Macaca fascicularis: one gene and its partners. The protein of the gene in region 1 purifies or fractionates together with the protein of each later gene. This does not show direct contact. Links are inferred from orthologs where the notes say so. Each region holds a gene or a part of one and is shown in the gene's direction. Other genes may lie near its edges.

Evidence for each region.
Region 2: the proteins of CSNK1D (region 1) and GAPVD1 purify together in Homo sapiens (affinity purification with mass spectrometry; 5 studies listed by BioGRID and IntAct, counting the BioPlex papers as one, with this or other methods). This does not show direct contact. The link is inferred for Macaca fascicularis from reciprocal best matches to the Homo sapiens genes CSNK1D and GAPVD1.
Region 3: the proteins of CSNK1D (region 1) and CRY1 purify together in Homo sapiens (affinity purification with mass spectrometry; 3 studies listed by BioGRID and IntAct, counting the BioPlex papers as one, with this or other methods). This does not show direct contact. The link is inferred for Macaca fascicularis from reciprocal best matches to the Homo sapiens genes CSNK1D and CRY1.
Region 4: the proteins of CSNK1D (region 1) and ANKRD49 purify together in Homo sapiens (affinity purification with mass spectrometry; 3 studies listed by BioGRID and IntAct, counting the BioPlex papers as one, with this or other methods). This does not show direct contact. The link is inferred for Macaca fascicularis from reciprocal best matches to the Homo sapiens genes CSNK1D and ANKRD49.
Region 5: the proteins of CSNK1D (region 1) and FAM83H purify together in Homo sapiens (co-immunoprecipitation; 5 studies listed by BioGRID and IntAct, counting the BioPlex papers as one, with this or other methods). This does not show direct contact. The link is inferred for Macaca fascicularis from reciprocal best matches to the Homo sapiens genes CSNK1D and FAM83H.
Region 6: the proteins of CSNK1D (region 1) and VPS13B purify together in Homo sapiens (affinity purification with mass spectrometry; 3 studies listed by BioGRID and IntAct, counting the BioPlex papers as one, with this or other methods). This does not show direct contact. The link is inferred for Macaca fascicularis from reciprocal best matches to the Homo sapiens genes CSNK1D and VPS13B.
Region 7: the proteins of CSNK1D (region 1) and CRY2 purify together in Homo sapiens (affinity purification with mass spectrometry; 3 studies listed by BioGRID and IntAct, counting the BioPlex papers as one, with this or other methods). This does not show direct contact. The link is inferred for Macaca fascicularis from reciprocal best matches to the Homo sapiens genes CSNK1D and CRY2.

The regions. Positions count from the first base shown.
Region 1 is NC_088390.1:88,701,355-88,706,024, reverse strand, and holds the start of CSNK1D (casein kinase I), read left to right. Parts: upstream 1-1,497; 5' UTR 1,498-1,553; coding exon 1,554-1,629; intron 1,630-4,670. UniProt on the Homo sapiens protein: Essential serine/threonine-protein kinase that regulates diverse cellular growth and survival processes including Wnt signaling, DNA repair and circadian rhythms. It can phosphorylate a large number of proteins.
Region 2 is NC_088389.1:18,794,999-18,799,632, reverse strand, and holds the start of GAPVD1 (GTPase-activating protein and VPS9 domain-containing protein 1), read left to right. Parts: upstream 1-1,712; 5' UTR 1,713-1,844; intron 1,845-4,634. UniProt on the Homo sapiens protein: Acts both as a GTPase-activating protein (GAP) and a guanine nucleotide exchange factor (GEF), and participates in various processes such as endocytosis, insulin receptor internalization or LC2A4/GLUT4 trafficking.
Region 3 is NC_088385.1:113,901,170-113,905,217, reverse strand, and holds part of CRY1 (cryptochrome-1), read left to right. Parts: intron 1-2,670; coding exon 2,671-2,813; intron 2,814-4,048.
Region 4 is NC_088388.1:93,486,786-93,490,742, forward strand, and holds the end of ANKRD49 (ankyrin repeat domain-containing protein 49), read left to right. Parts: intron 1-379; 5' UTR 380-467; coding exon 468-725; intron 726-1,837; coding exon 1,838-2,299; 3' UTR 2,300-3,360; downstream 3,361-3,957. UniProt on the Homo sapiens protein: Induces HBG1 expression. May have a role in spermatogenesis where it promotes autophagy in response to serum starvation, via the NF-kappaB pathway.
Region 5 is NC_088382.1:153,387,264-153,391,025, reverse strand, and holds part of FAM83H (protein FAM83H), read left to right. Parts: intron 1-393; 5' UTR 394-408; coding exon 409-855; intron 856-1,666; coding exon 1,667-1,831; intron 1,832-1,898; coding exon 1,899-2,023; intron 2,024-2,219; coding exon 2,220-3,762. UniProt on the Homo sapiens protein: May play a major role in the structural organization and calcification of developing enamel. May play a role in keratin cytoskeleton disassembly by recruiting CSNK1A1 to keratin filaments. Thereby, it may regulate epithelial cell migration.
Region 6 is NC_088382.1:109,439,743-109,443,790, forward strand, and holds part of VPS13B (intermembrane lipid transfer protein VPS13B), read left to right. Parts: intron 1-460; coding exon 461-724; intron 725-1,370; coding exon 1,371-1,454; intron 1,455-1,632; coding exon 1,633-1,808; intron 1,809-2,313; coding exon 2,314-2,484; intron 2,485-2,822; coding exon 2,823-3,024; intron 3,025-4,048. UniProt on the Homo sapiens protein: Mediates the transfer of lipids between membranes at organelle contact sites. Binds phosphatidylinositol 3-phosphate. Functions as a tethering factor in the slow endocytic recycling pathway, to assist traffic between early and recycling endosomes.
Region 7 is NC_088388.1:19,990,718-19,994,765, reverse strand, and holds part of CRY2 (cryptochrome-2), read left to right. Parts: coding exon 1-292; intron 293-527; coding exon 528-679; intron 680-804; coding exon 805-1,007; intron 1,008-1,317; coding exon 1,318-1,410; intron 1,411-2,565; coding exon 2,566-2,705; 3' UTR 2,706-2,707; intron 2,708-4,048. UniProt on the Homo sapiens protein: Transcriptional repressor which forms a core component of the circadian clock.

The DNA.
Region 1 (4,670 bases):
GAGAACTGGGCTCTGTTCATCAACAGAAAAGCCATGAGCGATCCTGCCAATAAGGTCAGTTCTACTAGTCTGGCAGCCCCCACCCCAGGCTCCTGTAACTCAGAAACTGGGCAGTTCCGACTGCCTGTGCCTCATTAGTGACTGACGGTGGTCTGGCCGGTGGCATCTCCTGTCTCCAGGCCCTGCTGTGTGACTTCAGGAATGGACACCTGCCTCCCCCACCCGACCTCCGGCTGTTTGGAGCTGAGGGGTGGAGAGGAAGGACTTGGGGGTGGAGAAAGGCGGGCACCACTGCGGGGCCTGCGGGGGCTGCTTTCCTCTTCTGCAGTGACCTGGACGGGCTGAGGCTGTTGTCTCACTCACGCTGTGGTGCCCACACCAGAGCCCTGGTATGCTACTGCCTCAAAACACACATTCACCTGTTTCACGTTCTTGAGTTTCAGCGAGGATGTGACAGGTCTCAACATACATGGACGTGGGACCATGGGTACGGGTTCTTCAAGGTCCCCATGCACCGCAGCCCAGGGGGCTTGTCTGAAGGGCTTTCTTCCCAGCGATGGGAATCAAAGGCCCCAATCTTTGAAGCTGGCCATCAGCCTGAACGTCCACTCCTTGTTTTCTTTTGCAAGGAGGAACATTCAGAACCAACACAGATAAGAATGTTGACTCGGTCTCCAGGCCGCAGGGACTGGCGGGAGGCAGGTGGTCTGGCCTCGTATTGTGAAAGGTGGTGGCTTTGCCCTTGACCTCCAAGTTGGACATCAGGACCTCCGAAGGCGTGGGCCCGCTCTGTCTCTGGCCTTAGGTGTCAGGAGGTAAGGCTGCAGACGCTGACGTCCTGGGATGCCCCAAGCCCGGGAACTGGTAGCCCAGTGAGGGGGTCTCCCCTGTGTCCCCTGAGCCTGGCCTGTCAATCTGTCCAGGCCTCAGCTACCTGTCCCCTCCTGCAAAAGGCACCGCCTGTCGCGAGGAACTCATCTGGCTTCCTCGACATCTCGGGGGACACACGAAAAGCCCCCGCGAGAGCAGCGGGAGACTGCAGGTGGAAGGGGCTGGCGGCCCGAGGTCCAGGGGTAACGGGACGGTGCGGGGCAGAAGGGCTTGGCCCTGCGCAGAGTTGGGAGGAGGCCTGGAGCGCTCGCCCCGCCCGGCCCCGCCCCCGAGGGCCAGGCCCCGCCCCCGAAGCGCCGCGGCCCCGCCCCACCGGGTTGCTAGGGGAAGTGACGTCACAGCGCGATGGCGGCGGCTCCTTTAGGCAGCTGAAGGGGGATTTAGGCCCGGAAGATCCGAGTCCATCCGCGGCGGGGAGAGGGCAAGCGGGGTCGGCAGGGGCCGGAGCAGCGGCGGCGGCGCTCGGACTGTCCCATCCGCCCCGTATTGAGGCGCTGGGAGCGGCGGGGTGACAGGAAAGCGATGGTGAAAGCGGGGCCGTGAGGGGGGCGGAGCCGGCAGCCGGACCCGCAGTAGCGGCAGCAGCGGCGCCGCCTCCCGGAGTTCAGACCCAGGAAGCGGCCGGGAGGGCAGGAGCGAACCGGGCCGCCGCCGCCGCCGCCATGGAGCTGAGAGTCGGGAACAGGTACCGGCTGGGCCGGAAGATCGGCAGCGGCTCCTTCGGAGACATCTATCTCGGTGAGGCCCCGCCGCCCCCGCCCGCCGTTCGAGGACCCGGGCCCGGCGGCTGCCAAGACCAATCGCGACCGCGGAAGGAAGTGGCGGCCCCCGCGGGGTCTGCGTGCAAGTCGGGGCGCCGCCGGGTCGTGGCCAGAACCCAACGGCCACTAGGCGTGCGCGGCCAGGGGTGGGGAGGGCAGTGGGGAGCGGACGTGGGGGAGGGGCAGGGCCAGGTCGGGGGAGCAGGGTCTGGAGGGAGGAGGGGACAGGGGAGCTGACCCGGGGTGGGGCATGGGCTCGGGGGCGCTGACCCGGGTAGGGGCAGGGTCGTGGGGAGCGGACCCGGGAAGGGCTGGGTGGGGCGTGGGGAGGCGGGCCTGGGGGAGGGGCAGGGCGGGGGTGGGGGCAGCGGGCCGCGGGCGGGGAGGGGGCAAGGCCGGGGCGGCGGAGCGGGCGTCGGCTTCCTCCACGCCTAAGGTCACCGCAGTAAACAAAGGCCACGGTCTTTCTTCCGCAGCCCGGTCCGGGGCTGTCTGGTTCCCCCCACAGAGGCTGCCCCTGCGTCTTGCACGCGTGGGGGAAAATGTCAGAAAGACCCAAATGCCTTGTGGGAGTGGGGGAGTGGCCCGGCTAGGAGCGGAGCTTGCCCTCCGCCTCGCAGCCGCCCTGATGACTGACCGCTGGGGGTTCTCTCTCGCCTGTGCCCCTTGGCCTTGGAGCGGTGACTGAGTGCAGATGAGCAAGGGTTAAGTTTAGGTGACGGTAGAGAAAGTCACCCAGGGTTAAGATGCTGGCGAAGTGAGAGGCAGATGAAGTAGTTGTACTCATGAGCTGTCCTTTAGACTATAACAGTCTCACGGTAGATTTCAAAAAACATGGGATTAGAACGTTCTGGGGTGTGTCATATTTACAATGGAAAAATATGCACATGAACACAAGTGTAATGAAAGGTTGGCTTAAATCTTCAAGTTTGTAATTTTTTTTTTTTTCCTTTTTTGAAACGGAGTTTCGCTCTTGTTGCCCAGGTTGGAGGGCAATGGCGCGATCTTGGCCTCCCAGGTTCAAGCGATTCTCCTGCCTCAGCCTCCCTAGTAGCTGAGATTACAGGCATGCGCTACCACGCCGGGCTAATTTTGTATATTTAGTAGAGACGGGGTTTCTTCATGTTGGTCAGGCTGGTCTCCAACGCCCGCCCGATCTCAAGTGATCCGCCCACTTCGGCCTCCCAAAGTGCTGGGAAGCCACTGCGCCTGGCGGAAGTTTGTAATTTTAAAGTAACAATTTTCTGCACTTGTCAGTGGGATTGTGCGGTGCACGAGTTATTCCAAGACCCCTTGCATTTGAGGATATGTAGCCTGAGGCGGTGTGCCTGCAGAGGGGCTGCTGCAGACCTTTGAGGGGAGCTGTTTTCTGTTCCAGCAGCCCTAGCTTTTGGGGCATTTGTCAGCCAGGGTCAGGAATCCCAAGGGATGTCAGTAATGCCTCTGGTCATACCGTTTAGATGAACCCACATGTGGACAGTACCCAGTTCTCATTCCCTTCCCATTTTTCACCAGAGAGAGAACTCAGGACCCGGTGGGCTGACAGCGTTAGGCTGAATCCATACATATGGGTGGCTCATACTTCGGGTGCCTGGTTAATCTGCCGGGTAACCCCGTCATATGCCATGTTGTTGCTTTTGAACCTGTACATATGCCTTAATGGCCTGCTGAGTAAGCAGGCCTTAGACATTTGGGTTTGACTGTTTAAACATTTATACCAGGTGGTCAGCTGGATGTGTTCTTGGCAGTGTTTTGGAAGTCAGGGTGCTTGGTAAATGGAAGTCGTTTGGCTTATTTATAGAACAGTAGATTTTGGCGAAAGTTTTAATCCCAGGATCTGAGTTACACTGCAAAGCCAGTCCATTAACCACCTTTAGGCAGGCATCAAAGAGAAGTATTTTGGGCCAGGCGTGGTGGCTCACGCCTGTAATCCCAGCACTTTGGGAGGCCAAGGCGAGCGGATCACTTGAGGTCAGGAGTTCGAGACCAGCCTGGCCAAAGTGGCGAAACTCTGTCTCTACTAAAAATACAAAAATTGGCCAGGCGTGGTGGTGGCTGCCTGTAATTCCAGCTACTTGGGAGGCTGAGGCATGAGAATCACTTGAACCTGGGAGGCGGAGGTTACAGTGAGCCAAGATCATACCACTGCACTCCAGCCTGGGTGATGGAGTGAGACTCTGTCTAAAAAAAAAAAAAAGAAAGAAGTACTTTGAAACTATTTCTTCTCTTCTCTGAGACCTTGTCAAACAACTTTTGTGCTTTCCAAAGATAGAGTCAGACAAATTTTGGTGTGGTTGTCACCAAGTGATTCCAGAGGTGGAGGGTGGAAGGCTGTCTCCTCACTCAGCGTTCTACCCTCCAGGCCTCACCTCTCACTGGGCATACAGTCATGTTGGATACGGGATTGCAGGCGGCTGTGGCTCTGACTCCCTGGGGTTGGACCCCCCCAGACAGCCATCTATCAGGGTACACGTCCAGTTACTTGAGTAGGGTTGGGCACAGCTGAATTTTTTTTTTTTTTTCCGTCAGCATTGGCTCCTGGCCACACTGTGGTCCTTTCAGATGACCCCTCTGAGGAAATGAAAGGCGAGGTGGTCACGTTAGCCGGAGTAAGGCAGTTTGGAAGAAGCGTGGGTCTCAGCAGAATGGCAGTTAGAGTCAAAGATGGCTGATGTGAAGACCTTGAGATGGGTTGGTCATCCCCACCATAGTTTTGTTTGTGCAGCCAGTTAGACATAAATTGAGGAACTAGGTCTTCGTCTTGACCTCTGCGTGTCGTGTGTATTCTAGTGTGACTATCATTAAGACCATTCCTACTGTTGTCACTGTGGTGTCCTCCAGGTGGGGTTCACCTTGCTTTGAGCCTGGCTTTTGGGTTTTTGTTTTTCCACTGGGGACTTTCTGTGCTTTCCGGTGTTTGAGCCCGGGAAGGCGGGGGGAAGGCTGTGCTTCAGTGGAGTGCCCGTGGGCTAGAAGTGTGGTGTGGGCCTGCCTGCCCCGACCCTGCTGTGAGAGTTG
Region 2 (4,634 bases), on another chromosome or scaffold:
TGGGTGGTTCTATTACTACCTATGTAGTCATAAAACAAGGCAATAAATATGAAGCAATTATGTCAATGTTGTTGTTTTGTTTTGAGACAGGTTTCACTCTGTTGTCCAGGTTGGAGTTCAGTGGCATGATCACAGCTCACTGCAGCCTTGACCTCTTTGGGCTTGGTGATCTTCCCACTTCAGCCTCCCTAGTAGCTGGGACTACAGGTGCACGCCACCATGGCTGTCTAATTTTTGTATTGTTTTTGTAGAGATGGGGTTTCACTATGTTGCCCAGGCTGATCTTGAACTTCTAGGCTCAAGCAATCCTCCTGTCTTGGCCTCGCAAAGTGCTGGGATTACAGGCATGTGCCACCATGCCCCTAAAGGGGACACATCAAGGGAGGTGAGTAGATGGAAAGCAGTTTGATTTGAAATAGCTGGGGAAATGATTATTACTTTTTTCCTTTTTTTGCCGGGAGACTCCCGGTGTTGGTGGATATAATCACTGTTTTCAATTTTTTGAAGAGCTGTCAAGTGGAAGACATTCTGTATTGCTCCAGGCAGCATAACTACCAGCAATGGAAGGAAATAAAGGGAAACAGATTTCAGCTCAGCAGGAGGCAGAACTTTCTAAGATTTAGAGCTGTCCAACAGTGGAGCAGGCTGCATTACTTGAGGGAGTGAGCTCCCTGAAATTTGAACTGTTGAACAAGATGACCATCTGGCTGAATGTACAAGAGGGAATTCCTGCCTGGGCGGCAGTTGCACTAGTGACCTTTAACGAGGTATCTTCCAATTCTAAGGTTTCTAGACTGTTTAACTCAGCTAACTTGACCTCTGAGTTATGCTGTTAAAAAAATTATTAGACAGCTCATCTATTGACTTAAATAACTGCATGGTCAAGTTTACGATAAGATTTTAGAAACTGAGAAGTGGGAAAGCAGGTTTAATACTTAAAATCCAGATACCATCCAAACCAATTAATTAATGGCACTTTGAACAAAAGGGAAGGGAGGGGCCGGGAGCGGTGGCTCACGCCTGTAATCCCAGCACTTTGGGAGGGTGAGGTGGGTGGATCACGAGGTCAGGAGATCGAGACCATCCTCGCTAACACGGTGAAACCCAGTCTCTACTAAAAATCAAAAAATTAGCTGGGCGTGGTGGCGGGTGCCGGTAGTCCCAGAGACTCGGGAGACTGAGGCAGGAGAATGGCGTGAACCCGGGAGGCGGAGCTTGCAGTGAGCCGAGATCGCACCACTGCACTCCAGCCTGGGCGACAGAGCGAGACTCCGTCTCTAAAAAAAAAAAAAAAAAAAAAAAAAAAAAAAGAAGGGAGGTTTGTGAGTGGTGTGTGCGTGTGTGTGAGAGAGAAAGAGAGAGACACGAGAGAAAGAGAGAGTCATTCTTTCGAATAATGTGTCCTGGGCAACTGAGCGTTGTCACAGAAAGCATAAAACGCTCTACAGTTTTGCTTTACACATACTTGCTCAGTCGGATTCTTCACTTCCAGCATTACTGCAGGCGGAAACCAGGGCTCAGGCCTGGTAAACAACCTTCCGGAAGACGATTCTGGACCCGGACACCCACTACCGCCTCAGCGGGCAGCTGACCTAGGGCTGCCTAAGGAGGAAGTGGGAGCCCCCGGCCTCCCGGGCGGAACTACCGCTCCCAGGGGCGCCCGCGGCGCCGCGCACGCGCGCTGGCGTGGCGGCAGCGCCGCTGCAGGACGTAGGGAAGCCAACAGGCGAGTGGCGAAGGTGGCGGCAGCGGCGGCGGGGGCAGTCACCGGCGAGGGCGACGGCTCCGAGGCCGAGTGGCGGTCCGGCAGAGTCCTCCGTGTCTTCATCCGCATGAGCCCCTTGGTGAGCGCGCGTCCCGATTTAGCCCGCGCGCGGTGCGCCGCTCCCTGCCTCGCGGCCGGCTTGCTCCGGCCTAGGGCCGCAGCCTGCCTCTGACGGCCGGGCCGTCCGGTCCAACTGACCCCGGGGTCCCGGGACCTTCCCGTCAGTGTCGGGCGAGGTGGGGGTTGGGGGACACTGGGTTAGGCCCAGGGGAGAAATGTGGCGGCGCGCAGGAGCCAGGGCGGCCTGGGGCTAAGGAGAGGGAGAGGCGCGTGGGGGATGGGATGGGAAGGGACTGGGGGACCGCCGAGCGGTCTCGGGTGGGGGCCAGAGACTAGAGGCCCGGCAGGTAGGGAACTGAGTACAGGAGGCGAGAACGAAATGGAATGTCTTTTGAGTGTCGCTGATAAAGATGTCGTGCTGCGGGGAAGCTTGACAAGCTGGACACATGGGTCTAGGGGCAGCCCACCTACCACAGACACTCACCATACTTGGCATCTTTCCTCTTGCTGTCGGAGGTCTGAAAGTGAGGTAGCTGTTGGTTATTTCCATCCCTTTCAACTTCACCTTTTATTGACTGGCAAAATTGTAATGGGTGCTGGCTAGGTAAACCACAGAAGTACACACAGGGTTCTGTGTATAAATGTGCATAAAAACAGGGAGACATAGTGATAGGTTCAGATGAGAACTAGGTCAAAGGAGGAATCAGTGTTTTTATTTTTAAATTTATGACGAAAATAAGTTCTGAGCAGGACTTTGAACTAGAGAGGGGTTTTAAACTGGAGTTCATTGACGGATAGAATTAGAAGGGTCCTTTCACTAGGATGATAAAATGACATCATTATTTTTATTGACTGCTATCTGAAACTTATTATTTCCTTCAGTTGTGAATGTGGACAACAAGCCAGAGTAGAATTAGCAACGCTTATGACTTTGTCATCAATAAAAATTACGGATATTTTTGTATCATATTTACAGTTGCAGACAGCTCAGAATATCATTTATGGTTATCACTTCTTTGAATTTCTGGTGTTACTAGACCCGCCGTTAAGACCTTGTTATTTAATGTGATAATAAGGCTGTACATATATTATTACCATATTAGTTTGTTAAGTTGTGTTGCTAATATTTCTGTATAATTGGCTTCCCTTGCAATCACATGTATTTAATTATGCATTTAAAAGAAATCTGAGAACGGGACCATAGGCTTCACCAGACTGCCAATGAGGTCCATGCACAAAAAGATTAAGAACTCCTGAAATACTATAGGGGGCTGAGGCGGGCGGATCACTGAGGTCAAGAGATGGAGACCACCCTGGCCAACATGGTGAAACCCATCTCTACTAAAAATACAAAAATTAGTTGGGTGTGGTGGCCTGTGCCTGTAGTCCCAGCTACTCGGGAGGCTGAGGCAAGAGAATCGCTTGAGCCTGGTAGGTGGAGGTTGCAGTGAGCTGAGATCACGCCACTGCACTCCAGCCTGTCGACAGAGTGAGACTCCGTCTCAAAAAACAACAACAACAAAAAAAACCCTCCTGAAATAGAAGTAAGTTTTTTTGAATCTATAAGTCTACTTAGAAGAACATCTGAGTCATTAAAGTCAGACAGGATGACAGTGTAGACGAAAGAGAATTTCATAATCAGGGAGATAAAAGATTTGGATGGGATCAGAGTAGCCTTTTTTTTTTTTGGTTTTGAGATGGAGTCTGGCTCTGTTGCCCAGGCTGGAGTGCAGTGGCGTGATCTCCGCTCACTGCAACCTCAGCCTCCCGGGTTCAAGTGATTCTCGTGCCTCAGCTTCCTGAGTAGCTGGGACTACAGGCACCCACCACCACGCCCAGATAATTTTTATATTTTTAGTAGAGGCAAAGTTTCACCATGTTGGTAAGGCTGGTCTCAAAGTCCTGACCTCAGGTGATCTGCCTGCCTCGGACTCCCAGAGTGCTGGGATTACTGATGTGAGCCGCCGCATCCTGCCCAGAGTAGTCATTTTGAAAGAACAGACCATAAATGTTTCATTCAGGGTAATGGGGAGTGAACAAAATAATTGGAAGAAGAAAGGGAAGTGAATATGTTGGCCTTTAATTTTTGTATTAAGGCACCTCCCCAGTTCCAAGTGATTGCAGCTCTGTAAGCTCTGATGTTCTGATGTAACCCTGTGAAAAGAAATTTTACTGTTTGCTGGTTTTCTTTAAATCATGGAGGTGGAATTTTGTTTTTTTGGGACGGAGTTTCACTCTTGTTGGCCAGGCTGGAGTGCAATGATGTGATCTCGGCTCACTGCAACCTCTGCCTCCTGGGTTCAAGCAATTCTCATGCTTCAGCCTCCTGAGTAGCTGGGATTACAGGAGCGCGCCACCACGCCCAGCTAATTTTTGTATTTTTAGTAGAGATGGGGTTTTGCCATGTTGACCAGTCTGGTCTCAAACTCCTGACTTTGTGATCTGCTCACCTCGGCCTCCCAAAGTGCTGGGATTACGGGCGTGAGCCACCGTGCCTGGCCCTAATTTTTCTATCTTTAAATGAAAAACAGGAGAATCTCTCTTGAAATATATTTTTTGGGCCAGGCATGGTGCTCATGCCTGTAATCCCAGCACTTTGGGAAGCCGAGGTGGGTGGATCACCTGAGGTCAGGAGTTCGAGACCAGTCTGGCCAACATGGTGAAACCCTGTCTCTACTAAAAATACAAAAATTATCTGAACGTAGTGGCAGGCACCTGTAATCCCAGCTACTTAGGAGGCCGAGGCAGGAGAATTGCTTGAACCCAGGTGGCGGATGTTGCAGTGAGCCGAGATTGTGCCATTGCACCC
Region 3 (4,048 bases), on another chromosome or scaffold:
TCAGTATTTACTACCTAAGATTTAAAATAATATTTTTCAAAAAATAGTATTAAATTGTACTAGGCACATTGGCTCTCGTCTGTAATCACAGCATGTTGGGAGGCTGAGGCAGGAGGATCTCTTGAGGCCAGGATTTTGAGACTAGCTTGGGCAATATAGTGAGACCCTGTCTTTACAAAAAAAAATTAAGTTAGCTGGGTATAGTGGTGCATGCCTGTAGTCCTTGCCACTCGGGAGGTTGAGGTGGGAGAACTGCTCAAGTCCAGGAGTCTGAGGTTGCAATGAGCTATGATTTGCACCATTGCATTCCAGCTTGGGCAACAGAGTGGGACTCTAACTCATTAAAAAAAAAAAAGAAGAAAAGAAAAAGAATTGCTGTCATTCATTGAGGGCTTGCTATGCACTGTGCTCTGTTCTAAACACTTTATGTGCGTTATGTTATGTAATTCTTTAGCAACCCAATAATATGGTTAATGTTTTCACTTTACTGTAGCATATACTTACATAGGGTTTATTATGTGTCAGGCACTGTCTCTGCACCTTACTTATTCTACCCATTTTATAGACTAGGAAACAGGCATGGAGAGTTTAGCAGCTTGCCTAAGTAGTTGAGCCAGTCTTTCAACTTAGGAAGTCTAACTTATTAGATCCTGTGTTTTTAAACTATTCTATACTACCTCACTATAAAACAAATAAATAGAATGCTTTTCTATTCTCATCTTAATTTTATTTTTAAATTTCAAAAATAGAAAGTTTATACTAACAAATCTGAGCAATGCTGCAGAATGTAAAAGTTATTTACACACTCAAATTTTATTCCTGAAAGTCAACAGCCCTTAATTTCTTGATGTGCACTCTTCAGGACTTTTAAGAACGGAAAAAATTTTTAATGAGATACTATTTTTTTTCCTAGTAGTTTAGCAGACATTTAAAAACAATTACTGGCTGGGCATGGTGGCTCACGCCTGTAATTCCTGCACTTTGGGAGGCCGAGGTAGATGGAGATCAGGAGTTTGAAACCAGCCTGGCCAACGTAGCGAAACGCCATCTCTACTGAAAATATAAAAATTAGCTAGTTGTGGTGGTGTGTGCCTTTAATCCCAGCTACTCAGGAGGCTGAGGCAGGCTTGAACCTGGGAGGCGGAGGTTGCAGTGAGCCGAGATCATGCCACTGCACTTCCGCCTGAGTGACAAAGTGAGACGTCATCTTAAAAAACAAAAAACAAAACAAAAAATGATTGCTAATACATATTATTGGCAAGTGTGTGGAGATCAAGCACTTAGGTGCACTGCTGATGGGAATGTAAATTTGTACAGTCTTTCGGGTACCTAATTTGACAGCCTATCAGAATTTTGAATGTGCTTATCTTTGATCTATCAGTTGTTTTCCAAGGGATTATTTCTAGGAAAAAATTGGATAAATACCCTAAAATTTGTAAGATGTATGCATAAAGGTAAAGATATATACTGTAAAGTTTATAATAGCAATTTTTTTTTTTTTTTGAGATGGAGCCTCACTCCTGTCGCTCATGTTGGAGTGCGGTGGCACAATCTCAGCTCACTGAGACCTCCACCTCCTGGTTCAAGTGATTCTACTTCCTCAGCCTGCCCAGTAGCTGGGAGATTACAGGCATGTGCCACCACACCCAGCTAATGTTTTTATTTTTAGTAGAGATAGGGTTTCACCATGTTGGCCAGACTGGTCTTGAACTCCTGACCTCAGGTGATCCACCCACCTCAGCCTCCCAAAGTGCTAGGATTACAGTTTTGAGCCACCGCACCCAGCCTAGAATAGCAGTCTTTTTTAACCCACCATTGAAACAGCCCTTGTCTAATCAGGAGGTGTTTGGTGAATTATATAGTATGTTACCATATAGGCAGTTAAACAATGGTAGAACTTTTTCTTTATGAGATAAATCAGAATAGACTTAGAATTTAAAAAAAAAAAATTATGCTTAAGAAAAATCAACTAATTCCTTTAAGTCACAGTTTCCTCATTTAAAATCAGTGTAAAGAGATGTACAGAACTTACTAATATAGCTCCTGATAATAAGTAACTGCTATTATTATTACCATCTCCAAATTTTTCAGTTAACATTTTTTAGTAATCAGAAAGAAAATATTTACACACACACACACACACACACACACACACACTCACACACGACCTCAGCCAGGCAGCTTATACCATATCAACTATCAAAAGTTTGTCAAAGATCAGGTCTTAGACTCAACAGACATAAATTCAGGTGGTCTGGCTCTCTGTGAACTCTGGCAAATCCCTAAGTTTTAAAAATAAACCAAAATGGAAATACTAACCACAGTGCCAAACTCTGAGTGTTGTTTTGAGGCTCGAATGAAATAATGTAAGTATGAGTAATTTGAAAAAGTAAAGTGTTCTACAAACACATTTAGTGTAAGAGCTGGTTTTAAGCATATTGCTTTGCTAGATTGTCTGTTGCCTAGCATAAAGCCTGGAATCTAATGGGTTATGCATTTGTTACTTACGTATTTTTTAATTGATAAATTGTTTACTTTTTCCTGCATATTCAAAGTTTGATTTATGTATAATCATTTGATATGTAGATTTTCAGCTTTTTCACTTTTTGTTATGATAGAAAAAATAACTATTAAAATTGGTGTACATTGTTCCCCCTTCTGTTACTTTAGGAATGGAACATTACTAAACTTTCAATTGAGTATGATTCTGAGCCCTTTGGAAAGGAACGAGATGCAGCTATTAAGAAACTGGCAACTGAAGCTGGAGTAGAAGTCATTGTAAGAATTTCACATACATTGTATGACCTAGACAAGTGAGTTCTTTTTTTTTTTTTTTTTTTTTTTTTACTGTGAGAAAATGCATGTAACATAATATTTACCATCTTAACCATTTTTAAGTATATAGTTCAGTGATATTAACTACATAGATAAGTTTTTAACTGAGGTTTATGAAGTAGAAATGATAGCGTGTACTTCATAGAGTTTTGGGAGAATTAAGTGAACATATGTCAAATCCTTAGCATTTTATTTAGCCGCTATTGACCTAATGACAGGTCTCAGCATTTCTATTTCAAAACTATTATGGATTAAGACTGTTACAGAATTTTCCTTGACTACTCTTAACTCAGCCTCCTGTGGTCTTGCCTTTCTGGGCTCTTAGCATTATCAATTTTATAGTTATACATAGTTATAAATTGCCTTGACATATTTTGTATGCTTGTTTAATGTTATCTTATTTCATGTATATCTATCTTGTCTATCTGGATTTTAAATCCAGATACAAATTGGATGTAATATAACATTGCATAGCTGTAGTCCTCTGAACAATAGCATAATAGAATATTTCTCAAAGTGTATTTCTTCAGACACCAGTCCTTGGTGATGCTTTGTCCCACAGAAATTCTGTGGTCGAACTTAAATTTAGGGAGTATTGTATGCTATGAGTCTTAGAGGTCTATAAAACTTGTTAACTTTTTAAACTTTTGGCATACCATTGTCCTTTTAAGTACTGAAATCTTATAATTTATTTACCTTTTAAATCATTTTACTTTTTTAGTAATTTATAGATTTTATCAAGTTAGTAAAACAAATTCTGTAACATGACAAACTAGTTGATTTGATTTCACATTTTAAATGTATCAAAAAATCATGATTTGATTCAGACAAAGGTCTTACTTGATGCTAAGCTAGAATTCATGTATCTTTTGATAATAATCTTGCCTTAGAGCTCACCAATTTGCTTAACTTTAGGGAGCTCATAGCAAGGAGGGGGCAAAACAGGATAAAAACAGTTGCTTCTAGGTGGGAGACTCAGTGTTATGCATAAAATTAAGTGTTTAGGCCAGGCGTGATAACTCATGCCTGTAATCCTAGCACTTTGGGAGGCTGAGGCAGGTGGATCACGAGGTCAGGAGTTCAAGACCAGCCTGGCCAAAATGGTGAAACCCCATCTCTACTAAAAATACAAAAATTAGCTGGATGTGGTGGCAGGGGCCTGTAATCCCAGCTATTTGGGAGGCTGAGGTAGGAGAATCACTTGAACCCAGGA
Region 4 (3,957 bases), on another chromosome or scaffold:
CCGGGGGGCGGAGCTTGCAGTGAGCTGAGATCCGGCCACTGCAGTCCAGCCTGGGCAACAGAGTGAGACTCCGTCTCAAAAAAATATATATATAATATAATAATAATAATAGTTATATAATAATATAGTTGACTTAGAAGAAAACAACGAAAGTAAGAAGCGTTAGACCACTAAAGATCATCTGTGATCTAATAGTGGTCTAACGCTTCTTTCTTTCGTTGTTTTCTGTCAGCACCAGTATTTAGTGTATGTAAGGAATACCGTAAGAAAAACAAGAGTTTACACAGGGTTTAATTGTATATGTTTGCGAGACTTATCTATGCAGTTGATAAAGCCTGAATTATTGTTTTACTAATAACTTTTGTATTTGTGTTTTCAGGTCTTGATGAATAAAGCAGTCATAATTTATCTCTAGGAAGATTATACCCTGGCATTTGAAATGCTTTTTATTTAGAATAGTAGTAAAAATGGAAAAAGAAAAAGGAAATGATGATGGAATACCAGACCAAGAGAATTCCTTGGATTTTTCTGAACACTTTAACCAACTTGAATTGTTGGAAACACATGGACACCTTATTCCTACTGGTACTCAAAGTCTTTGGGTAGGCAATTCTGATGAAGATGAGGAGCAAGATGACAAAAATGAAGAGTGGTATCGATTGCAAGAAAAAAAAATGGAAAAAGACCCAAGCAAATTGCTTCTTTGGGCTGCTGAAAAAAATCGGGTAAAAAAAAAAGATTACAGAAGGAAGTGTGACAGTAGGAATAGCACTGGGTTCAAGCCAGAAGGCCTGCCTTTACTGTTATGGCCGTCATACCTATCTCTTGATTGTGAGGACCAAATGAGACAATGTACATGAAAGCACATATTAAGCTGCAAAGTGTCATGCTAGGTATTATTTGGGGGTTTAAGGATAATTATCTAGAAAGATAGCAAGCAATCATCTATATTTTAAAATCATTTATATAAAGTCATTAGGATCATTTAGGAAAGAGGATGGAAACTAACATTTATTAAATACTAACTATACCAGGTACCTTATTACATTATTTAATCCTCATGTATCTCTATAAGTAATACTCTTCTCTTTTATAGAGTAAGAAATTGAGATTCAGGAATATTAATTTGCCCAGGATCATCCAAGTGGAATGAACATCAAAAGCCTATTCCCTCTGCTTGGCCACTTCCACCTAATTTTACTAAGTTTCCCCATGTCTGTTTTAGTAAACTAATAACTAAAAGGGTCTTGCATTTTAAATAGCTTTTTAACCCAAGAGCATGCCACATTTAACCAGAGGCCCATAGAACAAACTAAAAATTACAACCTTAAAGGATGTTTCTAAGGTTGTATTGAGAAGGAATTGAGCTCTTAAATCCCTAGAATTCCCTATTAATACTTTATTCTTTTGTTAAAAGTTTTATTTTTAAAAGTTTCATACAGTGTATATATTGGTGTGATAATCCAATAGAAAAATCAAGCAGTTATGTTTTCTTCACAGATAACATATAAAATATTAAATACAATTAAAACCTATGATATTCATTGGACTGAAGCTTTTATGCAATGAACCTTAGCTGGACCAGGAGTAAGGGTATGGTTTGATATTCAGAGAATCTCATTCTTAGAAGCAACAAAGTATAGTTAACACTAACTTGTTCATTCTCACACCAGTAGTCCTCTCCTCCCAAAAAAGAGATCTTAAATTATTTTCATTTTAAAGTCATCTGCTAACAAGTTTTTATTCAACCTAATTAAATCTAACACCACAAGAAAATTTTGTTTTGGTTATTGTTTTGGTTTGAGTTGAGTTGAAAGATTTCCATTTTTCTTCTCAGCTGACTACAGTGCGGAGACTACTTTCTGAAAAGGCCACTCATGTGAACACTAGGGATGAAGATGAGTATACCCCTCTTCATCGCGCAGCCTACAGTGGACACTTAGATATTGTCCGGGAGCTCATTGCACAGGGGGCAGACGTTCATGCAGTGACTGTGGATGGCTGGACGCCCCTGCACAGTGCTTGTAAGTGGAATAATACCAGAGTGGCTTCTTTCTTACTGCAGCATGATGCAGATATCAATGCCCAAACAAAAGGCCTCTTGACCCCCTTGCATCTTGCTGCTGGAAACAGAGACAGCAAGGATACCCTAGAACTCCTCTTGATGAACCGTTACGTCAAACCAGGGCTGAAAAACAACCTGGAAGAAACTGCATGTGATATTGCCAGGAGGACAAGTATCTATCACTACCTCTTTGAAATTGTGGAAGGCTGTACAAATTCTTCACCTCAGTCTTAACAATTCTAGTAATTTTCTTAAGTTTCTAAGTACCAGTGCCTCCTTTGTGTGAGATATAAAGTATTCCCATAATCAAAGTTGACGTCAAACATCTTACTACAAAAATTCAGTGATATTCATTATAACATTCTTCCAAGTGAATTGCCTGACTTTGATGTCAGAATGTATTTAAAAGTAATTTGCATATATATTTAATGATTTCTGTGGAGTTCGTGATTTTTTATCAGAACTAATTTTAATGTGTGTATACTTAAAAACTTGACACGGGTTGTACAGAAACTGATATTTTTGGTGCTGATCCAAGAGAGATGTATTTTTAAATATCCCACATCCTGGATCTTTGTTGAGTACTTAGTATATTGACATATATTTTTATAAGGTGAGGTAACTCAGAACTTAATTTAGAAGTCTTAAATATTCTGATACAATTTAGCTGTCTTCTCTACCTTACCATAGCCAGTTGCTTTCACTTTAAACTAGAGCAAGTAACGTATTAGTGGCTTGCATCTTCATAAGTTAAAGAAAAAAACAGCAAAAAAGCTAGATCTTTGTCTTTTAGAACACAGACCATTTTCAGGAAAGCAGTTAGCGAGGTGTTTAATTCATGAATATTGTATACTGCCTCCCCTACCACAATTTACACAATCCTGTGGATAGTCCTACCTCACCCTGGTCAACCTACATGATCCTTATGCTAATGGCAAATCACAATGACCTTGTAGACATGCACACAACTATACCTTTGTCCAACAGATCATAATATATCTGCTATCCAACTGGTTTTACATGCCTAATCCTACTGATTGGGGCGCTGCTCATATAGTCTCTCAAGTTCACAGGAAATGTTGATTTTCTAAGGTCCTCATTTTTACAAACTATACAAAGCCTAAGTGACAAGGGAAAAGGAATTAGTCTAAGAGTAAGGGGATGATGATTATATTGAGGCTAAAACCACAAAGTGGCTCAGGCTTAAAAAAAAAAAAAAACACTGTGGATAATGACAAAAAGCATAAGTAAAAATATTTGAGAAAAATAAAGTAGAAGTTTTCAACAACACAAAAGGCATGAATTCATTTTTTACCTGTGTATGTCTTTCTTGGATCCAGAACATTATTCATCCAGCGTGCACTTAGTTATTTAATATCTACTCTCTCAGTTTCTCCAGCAGCAATTTTGCATTGTGTACCTAGCCCCTCTGTGATTGTTCCCAGAGTTTTGTCTTCTCAACATGAGAACACTCTAGGGGAAGAGAACTAAACCAATTGCTCTTTACTTCAGTTAAATTTTTTAAATGTCCACCAAGGCTTATCTCTTTCAAGCCATCCTATGTAACCCAGTCACCCTAGACTAAGTAATAATGTTATTTAATGAAATATTAAATATTTATTTTTGGTTAGAACTTATTAGATGATCTCAGAAAAGTCAGAGATAATACATGAACTGAATCATCGTGGCAACAGGCTCTTGAGAGTTAGTGCTTTAGTTTATGTTGTGAGCTCTGCCTAGGGAGATGCTTTGTGGCAGAAAGAGGTTGCTTTCTGTTTGATCTGGCCTAAGTTAGTGACACCAAATGACAGGTACAGCTGACAGGCAGTGATGATAGAATAAGACCTTATTTATCCAAGCAGACTGCTGAATGAGGCTGCTTAGCCTGAAAG
Region 5 (3,762 bases), on another chromosome or scaffold:
TCCCAAGTGGCTGGGACTGCATGCGCACGCCACCATGCCTGCCTGATGTTTAAAATTTTTTGTAGAGATGGGGTCTTGCTGTGTTGCTCAGGCTGGTTTCAAACTCTTGGCTTCAAGCGGTTATCCTGCCTCAGCCTCCCAGAGGAAGGAGAGACAAGGCTGGGATACCTGTGCCCCACCCTCTACCAGTATCCCCTCAGCTTGGGGTGTCCCTCAGTCTGGGTTGCCCTCTGTGAGCCTGGCTCAGCTGGTGTCCTGGAAGGCCTCCTGGGCATGGGCTAAACTTCAGCCTACCCAAGTCACTGACAGCCCCTTCCACAGTGTGTCCATTCTAGAGGGTAGGAGTGGTCCCAGTGCCCCCACCCCTAGTCATGTGTCTCCCTGCCCCTCCAGACCCCCGGCCCCAACATGGCCCGTCGCTCCCAGAGCTCCTCGCAGGGGGACAACCCACTGGCACCCGGGTACCTGCCGCCTCACTACAAAGAGTACTACCGCCTGGCGGTGGATGCACTGGCCGAGGGTGGCTCGGAGGCCTACAGCCGCTTCCTGGCGACTGAGGGGGCACCAGACTTCCTGTGCCCTGAAGAGCTGGAACATGTGAGCCGACACCTTCGGCCTCCACAGTATGTTACCCGAGAGCCACCCGAAGGCAGCCTTCTCGACGTGGACATGGATGGCTCCTCAGGTACATACTGGCCAGTGAACTCAGACCAGGCCGTGCCTGAGCTTGACCTGGGCTGGCCTCTGACCTTCGGCTTCCAGGGCACCGAGGTGACCACCTTGGTGCAGCCACCGCCCCCCGACAGCCCCAGCATCAAGGATGAGGCCCGCAGGATGATCCGTTCCGCCCAGCAGGTGCGCCATCTTGGGCTCAAGGGTAGTGGGGAGGGGCCAGGGCTAGAGGCACCAGGGTGGAGGAGACGCATGAGCACGATCAGCTTGGGTGAACCCTGAGCTCCAGCTGGAGCGGGGGTTCCTGGCAACAATCTTCAGGGCCGCCAGGTCTCGATCATCAGGGGCTACAGGCTCTGCACGGGTCTGCTTGCCCATGGTCATGGCCAGTGCCCAGAAATTCAGGGGCTCTGAGATGGGTGGGCACCGCCCCAGCCTGGGTTGATTGTTCAGATAATTACCTCTCATCCTGCCCGGTGGCCCTTGGCCAGCTGAGGGCTTCTAACCCTCACCAAACAGCTAGCAGACGGTGCAGGGTGCATCAGGTCCAGACGCTAAAGGCCCGTGACTTTCTCCCCTGCCCATGGCAGCAACCCTGTCCCAGGGCAGAACTGGAGCCTGGGACTCAGCCCTGACAGCTGTCCTGGAGTGGGGGCAGCTCAGCCGTCTGTAGGGTGGAGGGGATTTTGAGGTGCCCTTGCCATGCCCCCAGCGGGGCCCCATACCCCAACCTGGCCCACCCTCGTCCAGGGTTCTCTGCCCTGCACCTGCCTCGGCTCCCTCCTCATGGCCAGCCACTCCACACCTCTTCTCCTTCTGGTCCTTCTCCTTCCTCCTACCCATCTTCCAGACGCGGCCCCACTCCCAGGGATGGACTAGCTTGTTTCACAGTGGTTGTGGGTGATCCAGACGCCTCCTGGGCGTGGTGGGGAGGCTGGACAATAGTGTGGGGACAGCAGGGGCCTCTCCTCTCTGTCCTGACCCGCCCCTGCAGGTGGTGGCCGTGGTGATGGACATGTTCACTGATGTGGACCTGCTCAGCGAAGTGCTGGAGGCCGCCGCCCGTCGGGTCCCAGTCTACATCCTGCTGGATGAGATGAACGCGCAGCACTTCCTGGACATGGCCGACAAGTGCCGTGTCAACCTGCACCACGTGGATGTGAGTTCCCGGGAGTGGGAGATTGGGGAGGACCCGCGGCAGAGATCTGACTCCCCTCCCTCCCCAGTTCCTGCGGGTACGGACTGTGGCGGGCCCCACCTACTACTGCCGCACTGGGAAGTCCTTCAAGGGCCACGTCAAGGAGAAGTTCCTGCTGGTGGACTGTGCCGTGGTGATGAGTGGGAGCTACAGGTGCGCCCGCGAGCTTCCCTCACCCCCTTCTCTGGGGCCTCCTCCTGTAGCCCCAGCACCCCCTTTCCACACCAGGGCCCTCCTTGCCAGGAGCCCTTGTCCTGTATCCCTGCGTCCTCCCCGCCCCACCCGATGCCCACGGGGCTGCAGTGCCCTCGCTCCAGCTCAGTTTGACTCTGGCCCTGACCCCCCACAGCTTCATGTGGTCCTTTGAGAAGATCCACCGCAGCCTGGCACACGTGTTCCAAGGAGAGCTGGTCTCCAGCTTCGATGAGGAGTTCCGCATCCTCTTCGCGCAGTCCGAGCCGCTTGTGCCCTCGGCCGCGGCCCTGGCCCGCATGGATGCCTATGCCCTGGCTCCGTATGCCGGGGCCGGGCCCCTTGTGGGCGTCCCTGGGGTCGGGGCGCCAACCCCTTTCTCCTTCCCGAAACGAGCGCACCTCCTGTTCCCGCCACCCCGGGAAGAGGGCCTGGGCTTCCCCTCCTTCCTCGACCCGGACCGCCACTTCCTGTCGGCCTTCCGCCGGGAGGAGCCTCCGCGGATGCCGGGGGGCGCGCTGGAGCCGCACGCGGGCCTGCGGCCGCTCTCGCGGCGCCTGGAGGCCGAGGCCGGGCCGGCTGGGGAGCTCGCGGGCGCGCGGGGCTTCTTCCAGGCGCGGCACCTGGAGATGGACGCCTTCAAGCGGCACAGCTTCGCGACCGAGGGCGCAGGCGCCGTGGAGAACTTCGCGGCCGCGCGGCAGGTGTCGCGGCAGACGTTCCTCAGCCACGGCGACGACTTCCGCTTCCAGACCAGCCACTTCCACCGCGACCAGCTCTACCAGCAGCAGTACCAGTGGGACCCGCAGCTCGCGCCGGCGCGCCCGCAGGGCCTGTTCGAGAAGCTTCGCGGGGGCCGCGCGGGTTTCGCGGACCCGGATGACTTCACGTTGGGCGCCGGGCCCCGCTTCCCGGAGCTCGGACCCGACGGGCACCAGCGGCTGGACTACGTGCCGTCCAGCGCGTCCCGCGAGGTGCGCCACGGCTCGGACCCCGCCTTCGGGCCCGGACCCCGCGGCCTGGAGCCCAGCGGGGCCCCGCGCCCCAACCTGACCCAGCGCTTCCCATGCCAGGCCGCGGCGAGGCCCGGCCCAGACTCCACTCCCGAGGCGGAGCCGGAGCGCAGAGGCGGGCCCGAGGGGCGGGCCGGGCTGCGGCGCTGGCGCCTGGCCTCCTACTTGAGCGGATGCCATGGCGAGGATGGGGGCGACGACGGCCTGCCGGCGCCCATGGAAGCGGAGGCTTACGAAGACGACGTGTTGCCTCCCGGGGGCCGGGCAGCTGCCGGCGACCTGCTCCCCTCGGCCTTCCGCGTCCCTGCAGCCTTCCCCACGAAGGTCCCGGTGCCAGGCTCGGGCAGCGGCGGCGGCAACGGCCCAGAGCGCGAGGGCCCGGAGGAGCCCGGCCTGGCCAAGCAGGACTCGTTCCGCTCGCGCCTGAACCCCCTGGTCCAGCGCAGCTCCAGGCTGCGCTCCTCGCTTATCTTCAGCACATCACAGGCTGAGGGTACGGCCGGGACTGCGGCGGCCACAGAGAAGGTGCAGCTGCTGCGCAAGGAGCAGACGGTCAGCGAGACGCTGGGGCCCGGCGGAGAGGCCGTGCGCTCCGCGGCTTCCACCAAGGTGGCGGAGCTGCTGGAGAAGTACAAAGGCCCAGCCCGTGATTCCGGCGGCGGCGTGGGCGCCATCACCGTTGCCAAC
Region 6 (4,048 bases), on another chromosome or scaffold:
ACTGTCCCCGATTCACCTCTATTCTCCTTCACCCCTTCTTCTCTGGCCCCATTTTCTAGCTCCTCACCCTGAGTCTGCCCCTGGAGTATTGGTCAGTTTCTGGGTTTGAGCTTCTACCCTCTCTTTCAGGTAAACTATCTTCTGTTCATGCATGTTTGCAAGGTTTTCCTTTCACAAATCATTATCTCCACCGCCACATTGTCTCTGGCCAGCACCTGACCAGCATTTCAATTGAGTACTGGACTCCATGGAGGAGTCTGTCCTTTAAATAGCAAACTCAACATGGCCAAAGCAAAATTTCTTCTTGACTTCAAGTTTTTTTTCCTTCTTGTACTGTTTAAGCTAATTACTTCATTTTCTTTCCATTAACATCAACATAGTTTATTTTGTTTGATCGAGAACATATTTCCAGTTAATGAAGTCTGAATTGATGAAGACTTATGTACTTACTGTCTTTTAGATTATCATCTGTGGAAGACAGATCATCTGTAGTTACTTGTCTCAAAGCATAGAACTAAAAGTCGTTCAGCATTACATTGGTCAAGATGGACAAGCTGTAGTTCGGGAACATTTTGACTGCCTCACAGCCAAACAGAAACTGCCTTCATATATACTAGAAAACAATGAACTGACAGAGCTGTGTGTGAAGGCCAAAGGAGATGAAGACTGGTCAAGAGATGTGCGCCTGGAATCCAAAGCCCCTGAATACAGCATTGTCATTCAGGTTTGAAAAGAACTTCAATCTAGAGTAGAGCAGCTTTAACATTGAAATTTTCTCAAAATGTTCTTTACTTGTATAGCACTTAATTTATTAAAAAGTGATATATAAAAAAGGGGGGAGAAAGGCTTTGAATAGTACTTCTCAAACTGTTTACTCCCCATCCCATGACAATACATTTGTATCAGTTCCAGTAGTTCTTACAGCCAAGACTCTGTCCCTCCCAGATGCAAGTGATATCTTGAAAAAGATCCTGCTGCCCCAGGGTTAGGGGTAGGGTGGGACTGGGGGTGGTATCCTCCTCACTTAAGGATTTTTGTGATGGTCTGTTACTTTATCTCTTCCTCAGTCTTTACCATCATCACTTTCATTCCCATAAAGGATAAATTCTCTTTCATTTTGCCAGTCAGTCTTATATCTCTCCTTATGCAATCTCTTTGTCTTTATGGAAAGAGTTGGCCCCGTCGACTCACTGCACATTTGCTTTATGCCATAATGAAGTCTGTTTTTGCTTAGTTTTTTTTAAATAATGGCTTTTTCTCTATAACTTTAAACTCTTTTTAATCTTCCAAACGGATATATCTGTGCCTTATTTTGATTAATTAGTAAACTGCTTAGTACTCAATAGGACCCGTTTCTATTTCATGTGCAGGTGCCATCTTCAAACAGTTCCATTATTTATGTCTGGTGCACAGTTTTGACTTTAGAACCCAACTCTCAAGTGCAACAACGAATGGTGAGTGCTTTCCCAATCCTAAAATATGGTATATGACTCTGACCTTTCCTGTTCTGAAATAAATTAAGGTCAGAGTGACCTAGGGAAGAGATTTATTGCAAGTTTGTTTCAGCATCAAACAGCTGGAATACTGCAACAAAGCAAATATGAAAGTTGTTCTGTCCTTTTATTTTTATAGATTGTGTTCAGCCCTCTTTTTATCATGAAGAGTCATCTTCCAGACCCCATTATCATACATTTGGAGAAAAGGAGTCTGGGATTGAGTGAAACACAAATTATTCCAGGAAAAGGGCAGGAAAAACCACTGCAAAACATAGAACCTGACCTTGTACATCACCTGACATTCCAAGCAAGGTACTAGAAAAATCCTTCCCTACATTTTCCTAAGAGAAATTAAGTAGAAAAGTAACCTTGCACTGGGGAGGGTAGGAGGTGGGTGGGAAGATGGGGTGGAGGGAGTTTTTTGTATGATTTCTTATCTTATGAGAATGTTATTTTAAAATTGCCCTGCCTAGTGACCTCTTATTCTCATCTGTAGTTTTAGATAAAAATCAGCCTTTCTCATTAAGCATAGATATAATCAAGAGGAATCATCAGAAATTTTAATTTCTATTTCATTGACACATGACTTCTGTAGTGAAAGAAGATGTGAATAGAGATCAACACCCAGGAATTGAGGGGTGGGGGAAGAAAGAGGAAAAGCCAGGGCCCAGATCATCCACACACTGTCCCATAAATGGACTCTATCTACCAAAAAGGTGTTGGTCTGTAATACATGTGTAGTTAGATATTTTTCAATAAATTGTAGACCACTTTAGAAATCTGATATTTATTCTTGGTTTTTCTTTCGATTTCCTAGAGAAGAATATGATCCTTCAGATTGTGCAGTTCCCATCTCAACATCCCTCATTAAGCAAATAGCCACTAAGGTACACCCTAGAGGCACAGTTAATCAGATCCTTGACGAATTCTATGGGCCAGAAAAGTTGCTTCAACCCATATGGCCCTATAATAAGAAGGATTCTGACAGGTAACATTCTTCAGTGATCTTTTTCTACAAAAATTTCTCAATATTAACAAATGATCATTCACAAAAATATTAAATACCGTAAGTGGTGTGTGCATGTATGTGTCAGATTCTTACCTTTTATCATCTAGTAGGTGTATTTTGTAGATTTCTTTATTCATGATCTAGATCATAATTGCATGAAAAGTTGCTTTCTCCTGCATGCAAATTTAGAATTGAAAGATTCTGGTATGAGGAGGTATCATGCAGGAACATGGTGTGTTTGGAATCTTTAAACATATTTCACAAATATTAAAGTTATCATATTTCATTGAGTCTCTTGGATGTGGTGTTTGGAACAGGAATGAACAGCTAAGTCAGTGGGATAGCCCAATGCGAGTGAAGCTGTCAATCTGGAAGCCATATGTTAGAACTTTGTTGATAGAACTTCTGCCCTGGGCCCTGCTTATCAATGAGTCCAAATGGGACCTCTGGCTATTTGAAGGAGAGAACATTGTTCTACAGGTTCCTGCTGGCAAAATTATTATTCCTCCTAATTTTCAGGTACTAAACTTTTTTAATTAATATGAATTCTTATCTCTCAACAAGTAGATTTTATTGTAAAGTTGTGTTTATGATCTTCACAGAATGAATCAGTTGTGAAAAATTCTTCTTAGATGCATATGTAAGAGGTATGGAATGGTCTTTGAATATTCAAGGACTTTTCTGATGTCTTTTTTTTTTTTTTGAAAACCATCAACACTATTGGTGCTTGAGTTACCATTAAATTCGATAACTTGGATTAGTTACATTCTCATTCCATTGGCATAGGATATTTGACAAGTATTCGGGCTGGTCTATCAGTATATATTAAGGAAATATAGCCATCATGTGTGCTTATCCATACCCTAGGTATTCTTTGCTGTTCTTCAGGAAATTCTCTGCAGTCTGCAAGATACTGAGGATTTCAGAGCAACTGTTTTTGTCAGGGCCCCTTTTCCTTTATAAGTGGACTTGGATGTTCATAATTATGGATGTCTACCCAGTTGTTGATTATAACAATATGGAATGATTACTGACACAGAGAGAAACCTAATTGCGAACCAAAATATCACAGGAAGATTTTATATGCTGTCACAAAACCTTCTTCATAAGGCTAGTCTGTTTCAAGAAGACACACAAATCTATAAAAAAAAAAAAAAAAATAGAGTAAAAGGAACTCCTAAATACAATGTCTTTCTGATAGAGAACAATTTCAGAATCCTTTTTTGAGCTCCAGGTCATAAACATCTTTATTCAATTGCATTTTTTCTTTTTTTGTAAAATCAGATGATGTTACCTTATGGAATTGGAATGTTGACCTATGTGGACCTAATGTTAGATATTATTCTCTTGTCAAATGAGATGAAACCTTCAGTTTTTAAAGCCTTTGGTATTTACAGGGTAGTCACTGTTTGGGTTTGGTTTTCCCCTCCCTCCCGTAAATATGAATTCCATTGTGAGTACAAAAATAAAAATACATTGGGAGCCAAAATAAAATGTACGTTGCCATTACAAACACACACACACACACACACACACACACACA
Region 7 (4,048 bases), on another chromosome or scaffold:
TCCCCTCTCCCTATTTGGGCAACTCCTGTGGCGAGAGTTCTTCTACACGGCAGCTACCAACAACCCCAGGTTTGACCGCATGGAGGGGAACCCCATCTGCATCCAGATTCCCTGGGACCGCAATCCTGAGGCCCTGGCCAAGTGGGCCGAGGGCAAGACAGGCTTCCCTTGGATCGATGCCATCATGACTCAACTGAGGCAGGAGGGCTGGATCCACCACCTGGCCCGGCACGCCGTGGCCTGCTTCCTGACCCGCGGGGACCTCTGGGTCAGCTGGGAGAGCGGGGTCCGGGTGAGTGCTCTCTCAGCGAAAAGCTGGCCTATACCCTCTGGTCAGGACCAGCAAAGGGCAGCCCCCTTCTGGGCTGAGGGATGGGGTGGGATTTCTGGGTCCAGGAGATCCCCTCCAGATCCTCTGTGGCTTGCCTTCAGCAGAAGGGCTCTGGCTCCTGGGGGCACTGTGGTGACTTGGGAAAAAACATGGCAGCAGATCCCCAAGGAGGCTGATCATCCTCTCCCCTATCTAGGTATTTGATGAGCTGCTCCTGGATGCAGATTTCAGCGTGAACGCAGGCAGCTGGATGTGGCTGTCCTGCAGTGCTTTCTTCCAGCAGTTCTTCCACTGCTACTGCCCTGTGGGCTTCGGCCGTCGTACGGACCCCAGTGGAGACTACATCAGGTGAGGATGCAGACCACGCTCTCTGGCTTCTGACCACTGTGGCCTCCTACTAGGATGGGATACCCAGGGCCCTTTGAAGGAGGGTCTAGGTATGCTGATGGGTCATCTGGTGTGTCTTATTTCAGGCGATACCTGCCAAAATTGAAAGGGTTCCCCTCTCGATACATCTATGAACCCTGGAATGCCCCAGAGTCAATTCAGAAGGCAGCCAAGTGCATCATTGGTGTGGACTACCCACGGCCCATCGTCAACCATGCCGAGACCAGCCGGCTGAACATTGAACGAATGAAGCAGATTTACCAGCAGCTCTCGCGTTACCGGGGACTCTGTAAGGACACAAACACCTAGCTCACTGAAGGGAAGGACAGCACCTGCAGGCTCGGGGGTGCCAGATGGGGATGGCCAGATACCTGCAAAGGGAGGCTGAGTGCTGTCTTTCAGGTTGACACCTTCTCTGGGTATGGGACACTGCAGGCTGGGATGGACTGGGCCTCCCTGAGTAGTTGTGGGGCAGTGAGAAGAAATGGAACCTCAGTGTCTTGCTCCTATCCTCCCCACCCCAGCTTGCTTCGTCCTTCCCTGTAACCCCCTGCAATCCTGCGGGATGGCACTCTGATTACTCCCCGCCTCTCTCCCAGGTCTACTGGCATCGGTCCCTTCCTGTGTGGAAGACCTCAGTCACCCTGTGGCAGAGCCCAGCTCGAGCCAGGCTGGGAGCGTGAACAGTGCAGGTGAGCAGCAGCAGCCCACCTCCAATGGCCTCCTGTGGCCTGTGCCAGCACTTCAGTCATTCAGGACTGAGGCCAGAAGGAGGCCTTGCCCAATGGAGCTTATATTCCACCCAGGGCAGTCAGATAGTAAAGGAACCAAGTCGGATCATTTCAGATAACCAGTGCTTTGGAGGAAAAGAAAGTCAAGTGCCTTGACAGAGGGACTGGGAAAGAAAAGTTTCTTCTGTGTCACTTGAGATTGGAGTAGTCGGGGAACACCTCTGTAAGCAGAGACCCACGTCATGAGCAGTAGCCAGGCCTGCCACACACTGAGAAAATACCATTCCAGACAGAAGGAGTAGCAAGAAAAAGCTCATAAGCAGTACCAAGCTTAGCCCATTCAAGGAACCGAAGGGAGGTCAGTGTGGCGGCATGTCCCAGTGAGGAGCTGGGGAAATGAGGACAAGATACAGCATGAGCAGCATGTGGCAGGCCCGATATCCAAGACGAGGACTAGGATTCAGCCTTCAGTGCACTGAAGGATGGTCAGTAGGGCAGGGCATCATTGGACTTAGGTCTGAAAAAACTCCCTGGCCTGCTGGGTAGAGATTGGACAGTGTAGGCCAGAGCGGGCATAGGGAGGCCAAAGAGGAGGCAGCACAGACAGGGTGGTGGCCACACAGAGAACGACTGGACAGATTTGCTGCATTTGGAGCCTCCTCCCTTCTTGGGGATGAAGATGAGTAACATGAGATGGCACGAACACGGGTTTTTCTAGTTGGGCCAGCTAGGCTGCCTCCATGGGCAGCATGCCTCCTTCTCAGGGGCCCTGCTCTTTGCTGCTCAGGGAGGCTGATTCAGGGTTGCAGAGGGAATGCCTCACCTTCAAAGCAAGGACAGCAGGCAGGCCAAGTCAGTCTCTGGCCCATAGCCCATGCCATTTGGGGCCCAAAAGCTGGCCCTGCTACCAGCAGGCCTGCTCGGTCATGTTCTCCTTGCACATTTCCAGGCAAAGTCACTGCTGAAAGCAAGGCCGAGGGGCAAGTCTGAGGAGCAGCATGCTGGCATTCCATTGATGAGTGTGCTACCTGTCCCCTAAAGACCGCTGCTGCATAGTGTGGGGTCAGTTTGGCTGCATGCACAGTCTGTGTGACCCTTTGACACGCTTCCCTACAGGCCCAAGACCACTACCCAGTGGCCCAGCATCCCCCAAACGCAAGCTGGAAGCAGCTGAGGAACCACCTGGTGAAGAACTCAGCAAACGGGCCAAGGTGGCAGAGTTGCCAACCCCAGAGCTGCCAAGCAAGGATGCCTGAGAGTGAGTGACAGCAGTCTAGATTCAACCTCAGGAAGGAAGGTGGGAGCGGGGGTGCCTACTGCCCTGCCAGCTGAAGGTTAAAACATAACAAACTAGATGAAAATCTGGTGGGACCACCCAATGCTCAGCCACTAAAGCTTTACCATTTTACAGTGGCAGCCGGGTTCAATCCTGGCTTAGGGAATGAGTACTTTCTGGATCATATCCGTGTGACCCTTACCATTGGGCCTGCTGTGGTGGCTCGTGCTAGGATTACTAGCACCTTGGGAGGCCAAAGTGGGAGGATCGCTTGAGGCCAGGAGTTCAAGACCAACCTGGCCAAACCAACATAGTGAGACTCCATCTCTAAAAACAATAATAATAATCTGGTGGGACTGCATGACTTTTAGGATTTCAGCTCAAAAATCCCACCATTCTGACTTTTATCAGAGATTTAAAAGTCAAGCCCTTTTCTGTTTTTTTTTTTTTTTTTTTTTTTTTTTGCTAGCTAAGGGAAAAAGGGAGGCATGGGGGCGAGGGGTGGCACTTTCTACCTATTAAAGTGAGTCATGCTCAACAAAAAGAAAGCTGAGACCTGTGTGTGAAGCAGTGGGGAAAAGGCCCATTGCAGGGTCTGAGGCTGCTCCAGGCCCCCTGCTCTCCGACAGGCTGTGTTCTGTAGGCCAGCCAGTGGAGGGCAGCACTGACCTTGAGAAGCCTGGACAGAGGGCTGTGCTGTGTCTCACTCGGTCCAGCCCTGCCTGAGGACCAGTAGACGCAATCTGTCATCATCTTTGCTTTTACGGCCTCTCCTCCCTTCTCACCCGTCCTGTGGCCTCAGCTCTGCACCTCCCTGGCAGCGCTCATCTTGGAAGCCTCCCGAATGTCGTCAAAACACTGGCTTCTCCTTTCCCAGAGCAGGAAGGGCCTTTTATGCCCCTCTTGGGGAAATGTAATTTCCTGTCCCCTCTGAGTCATCGTCTCAGGCTGTTCCTTATGCACCGTGTCTTCGTCATGGAGGGTGACTTTTCTCCATGGAGCTGATAGGTTCTTTTTATCAGATCCCTCTTTCTTCAGGGGCCAGGCTGCAGCCATCTGGTTTGAGTGTCTGGATTTGTGTGCTCACTGAGATGGGCATTTGATGCCTGCACCCTTCACCTTTTCCGGGCTCTTTGACATAGTCATTGCTGATGGACAGATGTGTGCTGTCTTGTTCCTGGGAGTACCAGCAACCTGCTACTCTCTCGGTTATCTCTTAGCTCTGTGATACTAAGCAAAGTTCATCCTGTATTACAAATTTGGAACTTGCCAGGCTGACACTCTGATTTTCGGATGAGAGGACCAAAGAACAGAGAGGTTAAA